Neurospora crassa OR74A: one gene and its partner. The protein of the gene in region 1 interacts with the protein of each later gene in a pairwise test. Links are inferred from orthologs where the notes say so. Each region holds a gene or a part of one and is shown on either strand. Other genes may lie near its edges.

Region 1 (4,089 bases):
ACAACACGTACATGCGGAAGGACGATTTGGCGTTCGATACCGAGACTGATGTGCGGATGGACAGCGACGACAATCGCTTGTCGGACAGCGGCCACAACATGCGGGCGATGATGCCGCGGGCAGAAGCGGTGGATGGGGACGACAGCCCATTGGCAGCCGTCACCGGAAAAGAGGTGGACATGCTGCACACTGGCAGCTCGGTTGCAACCGCTGGTGGGGCAGAGAGTGGCTATAGTAGTTCGATGGAGGACGTCTCATCCTCGTGAGACCTGAGTGGGTATTTTTCCTATGTGAGAAGAAGACGCGGGGAGCATACGAGAGCAAAAGGAACGCATTGCGGCTGGTGTCAGGAAATCAGGTACCGGTGTTCTCGAATTTTTGGCTTTGGCGGGCAAGCGGGTTGTTTCGAGCGCGCGGGTTCTTGGCTTTTGCCATTTTCAGGGGAGTTGCAATTGTCGCTTTTCGGGGACTCGATACGCATGATGGATATCCAACGAAGGTGATTGCCGGGTGAGGGATCTGGATCCCATGAATGGGGCGGCCATGGGTGGTGGGTGGTGGGTGGAGGGAGGGGGTGTTGAGTTGGGGACTTTTTGGGGCGTCTGGGTTAGTGTTGTTTGGATTTCAAACGGTGTGGCTTTTGGGTTTTTTTCTCTGGCTATTTTTTTATGGGGGGTTTTATCTTTCTTCTTCATCTTTTTATTTCTGATATTTTTTTCTTGGCTTCCTTGTAGATGACTCCGTGTGCAGAAAAAAACATACCTGTTTTTTTAAATTCGTATCAACGATTCGCAGTAGTAGCAGAAGGCCGGTGACATCAGTCGCAACGGGTGCACCCGTAAAATAAGGATTGGACTTGGTGGTAGGTCTGATGGGGCATGTAGTGTATATAGGATTTCAAAGTGAATCGATCACTAGTCCCGGTTCGTTGTCTCCACGATGGCCTCGCTGCCGGAACGTTTTGATGATCGAGCGGTAATCGTGGATCCCTAGGTCGGGCGTAAGACCCTCAGCGCATTATCAGCAAGCCCCTGATTAATCCAACGCTGGGCGGGCTACACAGACAGTATCAGGGTCGTCATCACAGTCCAACGGTCGGTTGTTTGTTAGCATGGGTCTTCTGATGAAGCCATCGCCAGCAGTACCATAGCACACAAAAAGACATGTACAAATATCTCAATCCAGGAAAAGACACGTCAAAAAACGAGGGCTTCACATGATCGTTTTGATTCCAAGCCTTCCCGATCCAGTGAAGCACATATGCTTGGATTCACCCGCCCAGAAACTCCCTTGACTCAAGGTCTCTCACTACCTAACAAAACTTTCCAGAGGTGAATTGTACTGTACGCGGGCAGGGGCCTGCCCCACCTTAATGAAATCGATTCGACCGGACTCCTGGCTGCAGGCGGGGGAGCGAGCTCAGCGAGGTGCGGGCGGGCAAGTCAGCCCTTGGGGTTCCATCCATGACCATATCGCACCTACCTCTACCTACGGCCCTACCTACCTACGTAAACAACGAGCTCGGCGCCAACCGAGGCACGCAAGTGGAAGCTCCCCGCCTTGATCGGTCTTTTCCTTTCCCCCTTACAACCCGACATGTAAGGTCCATACTCAGAATGGCAACCAAAGGAAAAGAAGTAGAAACTGCGGGTCGGTAAGTCAGTCCCAGTTGAACTACCTACTTACCTTACCTTACCTTACCCTACCTTGGCCAAGCATCAGAGCTTATGTTGGTGGTGACAGGACAAAGCAACGTCTTGCCCCTCTTGAACGACGAGTCTCATGTCATCACCCCTAACTTCAACAGTCGGACATGGCTCGAAGTATTCCTCATTGCTAGCATAGCCTAGCCTAGCCTAGCCTACCTATAGAAACACAAAACAAGCTGACCTGCTGCTCCCGCGTTCCGCCAAACCTACAGTGATGCCACGCCCGCGAACCCCCGAGGTATCCCCCAGGCGCCCTTCGTCGACAAGGTCGAGGACTATGTCACGTCTCGCGCGGATGTCGAACCCACCCTGAGGCGGTTCCAAGAGTTGATTGCCAAGTACCAATTCATGGAGCAGAACCTCCAGCGACGGGTGGTGGGCTTGAAGGATAAGATGCCGGATATCCAGAAGACGCTGGACACGGTGCGGTTCCTGCAGATGAGAAAGGTACGACACACACACACGCACACACGCACACACACCTCCGTCTTCAGGGCACGCGAACATACGGGCTATACAGCTAGCTATACAGCGGGCACAATACCAAATGCGCCCGGGGCGGGGGGAAAGGGTAATTGAGAACCAAAGGTCAAGGACGAGCATGAACAACAAGGACGTGGATTGATGTATGGATGGATGGACGAAGATACGGTCGCACACGAACAAGACACGCTGACAAGATCACCTTTTTACTTTGTCTGTTTTACAGGACGAATCAGACCCGATCGAAACCACATTCGAGCTCAACGAGACTCTCTACGCCCAGGCCAAGATCCCACCCACGGACGAGGTGTACATCTGGCTCGGCGCCAACGTCATGCTGTCGTATCCCATTGAGGAGGCCGAGCAGCTGCTTGACTCGAAGCTCAAGGCGGCGACGCAGAGCTTGCAGAACTGCGAGGAGGATCTGGATTTCTTGAGAGAACAGATTACGGTACGTGTTGGGCGGAGAACGCGAAGATGGTAGTTCTGTTACCGATCTTGGAACCTTGACTGACCTGAACGATGCGCCATAGACGATGGAAGTTGCGGTTGCCAGAGTGTACAACTGGGACGTCGTGCAGAAGAGGAAAGAGAAGGAGGAGGAGGAGAAGACAAAAGGAAAGAAGAGCGAGACGGCGTCGGACGGTTGAAGAGGAGATTAGGTCTAATACAGAAAGCGAGGAGATAATGCACCATCACGAAATGCCATGGGAGCGAACGACGGTTGAAGAATGTCTAATAGAGGGAGGCCGGCCGAGGTTGCTGCTGGCCGCGATCATGTGAGACGAGGTTCACGATGGCTTGGTAAGTTGGACTTGATTTGAAAGCAACATGATAGCGAACGATACCTCACAGATATTCTGCGTCGTATTACGCTCAGTAGCCATTTGTTCACGAGACAAAGGAACAAGGGCCACGCAAGCGGTTTGTCGTTTTGGAGAGACTGAAGTGGGACTGGCGAGATGAGGTTCGCTCTGGCCTAGGTCAAGGCTACGACCTCGAGAGATTAAAGAGAATTTGAGTTTGGCGGCCTCCAACGCCCATAGCCTCATGATCAAGGCACGATGATGACTTTTTATATTTCCCGCCCGGGTTCTTGGTTGTGATGGAAGTTACTGTCTATCACTTGGCTACAAGAGAGATCGACGCTATGGCTCATTGTTTAGATTGTCACGATACCTACCGCAAACATACACCGAGATAGCCTTACAACGTTACCAAAAGCCAATCCGAGGAGATCACGTGGCTGAGGGGGCGAGTTTGTCTGGTTGAGTTGTAGTGTAGTCGCGGATCGATCGTCGCCATCGTTTATCAAGTGGTGTACATACCCAAGTCTTATCCAGTCGAGACAGTCAGATGGGCGGGGGGCCAATGCGCATGTAGGCAGGGCGCTCGGGCGGCCGTTGACCTGTCTGTTTCGCTGTCAGTGTTTTGTCAAAAGTGAGCCACCCCCGCCCCCCTGGAAACTGAAACCCCTATTTCGGGAGTGAGGAAGCACATCTGTGGTCTTGACCGCCATGACGACGGCATTCGTTTCGGAGACGGGGTCCCGAGTCTTTTGACTCTGTCTCTGTTTGGTACGGCGGCAGGCGAACGGCAGACCAGGCCCGACCTGAATACTGGATGAGGTGCCCTGCGCCAACAGCAGAAAGCAGCTTAGCGGATGGGGCCCCAACGTCGGGTCCCAAGCGGGCAGGCGGCCCCCAGGGGCAGGCGGAATCTCAGGGGCCCCGGCCCTCTGCAACGGAACCCCAATTAAACGATCTCCATCACGGGCGGGCTCCGGCCTCCTTCCCCTTCCTGCCTGCCTGCCTGCCTTGACTCTGTAGACTCAACTGTGTACCCTTTCCCCTTCGGATCAACCCTTTTTGCCACGACTCAGCTGCGTTATCCATCT
Region 2 (3,542 bases), about 2.3 Mb from region 1:
TCTCGTCGATGAAGATAATGGAGGGCTTGTTTTCTCGGGCCATGGCGAAGAGTTGCTTTACTAGACTGTTTTTTGTTGGAAAATCGTTAGCTTCTCAGTCACGATAGTGGCATAAGGACAGAGACAACAGGACAAAACATACCGTTCACTCTCACCCATCCACTTGCTCACCAAATCCGAGCTGCTCACGCTGAAGAACGTGCTCTTCGCCTCTGTCGCCACTGCCTTGGCCAAATAACTCTTTCCTGTTCCCGGTGGGCCATACAGCAAAATACCCTTCCACGGCTGCCTCTTCCCCTGGAACAGATGCGGGAACTTGATTGGCAACAAGACCGCCTCCTTGAGGGCCTCCTTGGCACCCTCTAGACCAGCCACATCATCCCAGCTGATGTTCGGCCGTTCCTGCAGAATCGCGCCCGCCAACGCACTTCTCAGCTTCTTGCTATCCTCATCCAACGCTTCTCCATTGCCATTACCGTCCTCCCCGGCCTCCTTCCCCTTCCCCGTCCCGCCCGTCGAACCCCCGTTCGCGCCCACCATCCCGGGCTTCTTCCGCTTCGCTTCCGCGTCCGCCAGGTGCGCTTTGAGCTTCTCGGCCCGGTCCATGTACTCGCCCGTCTTGGCCCGGATCATCTCCTTGGATTTCGGGTTCTTCTCCCATTTTAGGGCGAGCATGAAGAGTTCGAGCGATTGGTAGTACAGCTGGTAGGCTTTGTCGTACTGGGCGGCGTTGTCGGCTTCGATGGCTTTGCGCACTTGCTCGATGGCGCGGCCGAGGAAGTCGGTATTGGACATTTTGTGCGGCGGCGGCTCGAAGCGTGTAAAGTGATGTCGCGTGAATTCGTGGTTTAGTCGAGTGTAGGATTGGTCGCTCTTCTTGGTACGCCGTAGTAAGCGTTTGTAGTCGTTATACTTGTTTGCTTCTTCGCTCGGACAAGGAGAGTTTGTTGATATTCGCGCGCCGAGGTTCGAAGTCAATGTCAACAGATGGCCATATGCGAGGGAGGAGACCCGTTGATGACGACTGCTGTTGTCCTAGGCTACGGCAACGAGAGTGGCAGAGATAAGGTGAAGAGAAATCGGGAATTGGTCGTATCTTGCGGGCGTCACCTGGCAACGACTACGGCAAGACTGTCTTCTGGCACAAAAAAGTTGGTGTCGCGCCCTGGTCTGAGGTGGAATTGGAGAGGGGAAGATCGTTGGTGGTCTTGTCCATATCTTGGTTAGTTTCAAGCAACGAGGTCGACTTGTCTTGGCCGTTGACCTGGAAGCGCTAGCGTAGCGCGGGGTCCTGTTATGGTTCCCGGCCTGGGGGCCACTGACGCCACTTGTTTGCGCGTGGAGAGAGCGCTGGTCTGGGGCTGTTAGTACTTTGCTTGAGGATACACTCCTGCACTAACAGCTAAAGCTTGGGCACTGACTTTGGGATCTGCTCAGCTCACCCCTGACGATTGACTGCACAGCGAGCTCAGTTCCCCGGAATAGAAACCTCCAAATTCCCCATACTGGAGCTCATCTGTGTTTCTTGTTCCTGCATTTTGATCCATCATCTTCCCTCCCTCACTGTGTCCAAACCCTTTTTCAGTTTTCGAACGTCATCGCCTAGTAACTTTTCAGCATAACCCTGTCTCTCACTTCACATCACCCTCAAAGAAGCAGCCATGGCCAGCCCCCTCCAACTAAAGCTCCAAGCTCTCTCTGATGAGTATCAAAACCTGAACAAAGGTGAGCCCCCCTTATGATGATATCCCCGTAGTTCATTCACTAACTGTACCTCAGAACTCCAAGAGACTGTTCTCGCCAGACAGAAGCTCGAGGCTCAGAAGCAGGAAAACGTCAGCGTGCAAAATGTCAGCTTTTCTCCAAGCATCGCGCTCGCATGCCCAATGCCTTTCGCCAAATTCTGCCCAAGGAAAAAATGGGGACTAACTGAGCACCATGTAGGAGTTCGAGAAGCTCAAGGATGACGAGCAGATCTTCAAGCTAGTGGGCCCGGTGCTGCTCAAGCAGGACAAGATGGATGCAGAGAACACAGTCAAGGGTAGACTGGAGTTCATCAGCAAGGAGATGTAAGTTGAACTGCTGCATGGGATCTTGAGTTACAACGCAACTGACCCACTGTCACAGCACTCGCTTGGAGGGAGTCATCAAGGAGACACAGGGCAAGATTGAGAAGAAGAGGACAGAGATCATTCAGGTCCAGACGAGCGCCCAGGCTGGTGGTGCCCCTCAGGCCGTCAAGGCTTAGACCTAATGAAATCAGTTACGGAAAGAATGTCCACTATACCCAATCGAGATCAGGCGCAGGTACGATTCATCACACAGCGCTCCGGGGAAACTGTCTCGTGAATGCAGTCATAGGTCGATTTCTTTACCAAACGGTAATTATTACGTGATGTATTCATTGAAGATTCCCCCAAGATACCCCTTGACGCCTTGCTCTAAAATCGCTGAATGGGGATAACCAAAACACAACTTACACCCCCCTTCTCCCTGACCCTTACTCATCCACCCACCGACAGACCGCAGCTTCTCATCCTGTCTAGTATAACCTCAGTTCAGCGCCATAATTGTGAACCCCCACGGCAGCCCCATATTCTTGCAACTTCGGCCACTAACCCATGCCACACTATCACTCGACAAATCCTCGCCCGCCGCATTCAGCGAGAGCAGACTACTCCCGCCCTGCTGGGACGCCCGATCCGGATCCTCCACCATTGCCACCACAAAGCTGACCAGCTCGTCTTTGGTATAACAATGGCTCAGCAAGGACGTCGCGCCGATACGATCCAGCATCGTTCTGCGCTGTTCGCTCTCGGCAAAGAGCTGGAGCTCCCTGGAGAGGAGACTGGTCGTCAAGTCTCCTGACCCAGAGTTTGCGAAAGCTGCAGAAGAAGAAGAACAAGCACGCAAGAGCCGCTCAAAAACCATGGCCATCCCCGCAACAGCTTGGACGAACAGCGTCACCTTGTCGTGGTCGTCTAGCCCAGCCTCGATGCGGAATTCCTTTTCGGTCACGAAGGCGAGGCAGGAGGTGTCGAAGATGGAGTTGAGGATACGGTCGAGGCTGGAGGGCTGGGAGAGGAGGGCATGACTGCCATCCGGGAGGGCGTAGGTGTTGGTGAATTGGACGAGGATCTGTTTGAGTAGGGTGGAGAGGCAGGTCTCAGGGGGGACAAGGAGACGGCCCTGTTCGAATAATAGGTTGTCGGCTGCTGCTTCGATGCTGGCTGTTTATGTAGGAAGATGGGGTGTTAGTTTGGGCGTGACGGACGTGAGGGCTGTGAGAGGAGGAGGAAAGGGCTGGGTGGAGGAGTTGTGGTGGACTTGCCTTGCATTGGGCTTATGGAGGAGACTGTTGACGCCATTGTGATGAAGAGGAAGAAAATTGAGGGTATCACTGAGATGTGAGAATGGTAACAGTAACAGTGTAGGTTGGAATGGATGGATTGGTAGAGTACCACAACACACAAGCACTCGGGGATCAAGGCAGGATTATAAACAAGTAGACATCACTCAGAACGGGATACACCAAAAGTCTC

Evidence for each region.
Region 2: the proteins of NCU02264 (region 1) and NCU06941 interact in binary tests that used the Saccharomyces cerevisiae proteins (3 or more experiments, as listed by UniProt). The link is inferred for Neurospora crassa OR74A from reciprocal best matches to the Saccharomyces cerevisiae genes PAC10 and YKE2.

The regions. Positions count from the first base shown.
Region 1 is NC_026507.1:3,135,897-3,139,985, forward strand, and holds NCU02264 (prefoldin subunit 3), read left to right. Parts: upstream 1-1,436; 5' UTR 1,437-1,463; coding exon 1,464-1,654; intron 1,655-1,921; coding exon 1,922-2,156; coding exon of another isoform or gene 2,157-2,288; exon of another isoform or gene 2,289-2,335; intron 2,336-2,418; coding exon 2,419-2,643; intron 2,644-2,725; coding exon 2,726-2,842; 3' UTR 2,843-3,426; downstream 3,427-4,089. Other genes in the region: period clock protein FRQ, read left to right, coding at 1-266. UniProt on the Saccharomyces cerevisiae protein: Binds specifically to cytosolic chaperonin (c-CPN) and transfers target proteins to it. Binds to nascent polypeptide chain and promotes folding in an environment in which there are many competing pathways for nonnative proteins.
Region 2 is NC_026507.1:843,958-847,499, reverse strand, and holds NCU06941 (prefoldin subunit 6), read left to right. Parts: upstream 1-1,462; 5' UTR 1,463-1,661; coding exon 1,662-1,725; intron 1,726-1,779; coding exon 1,780-1,850; intron 1,851-1,944; coding exon 1,945-2,069; intron 2,070-2,127; coding exon 2,128-2,248; 3' UTR 2,249-2,553; downstream 2,554-3,542. Other genes in the region: NCU06942 (vacuolar protein sorting-associated protein VPS4), read right to left, coding at 1-65, 143-795; NCU06940 (hypothetical protein), read right to left, coding at 2,554-3,230, 3,332-3,368. UniProt on the Saccharomyces cerevisiae protein: Binds specifically to cytosolic chaperonin (c-CPN) and transfers target proteins to it. Binds to nascent polypeptide chain and promotes folding in an environment in which there are many competing pathways for nonnative proteins.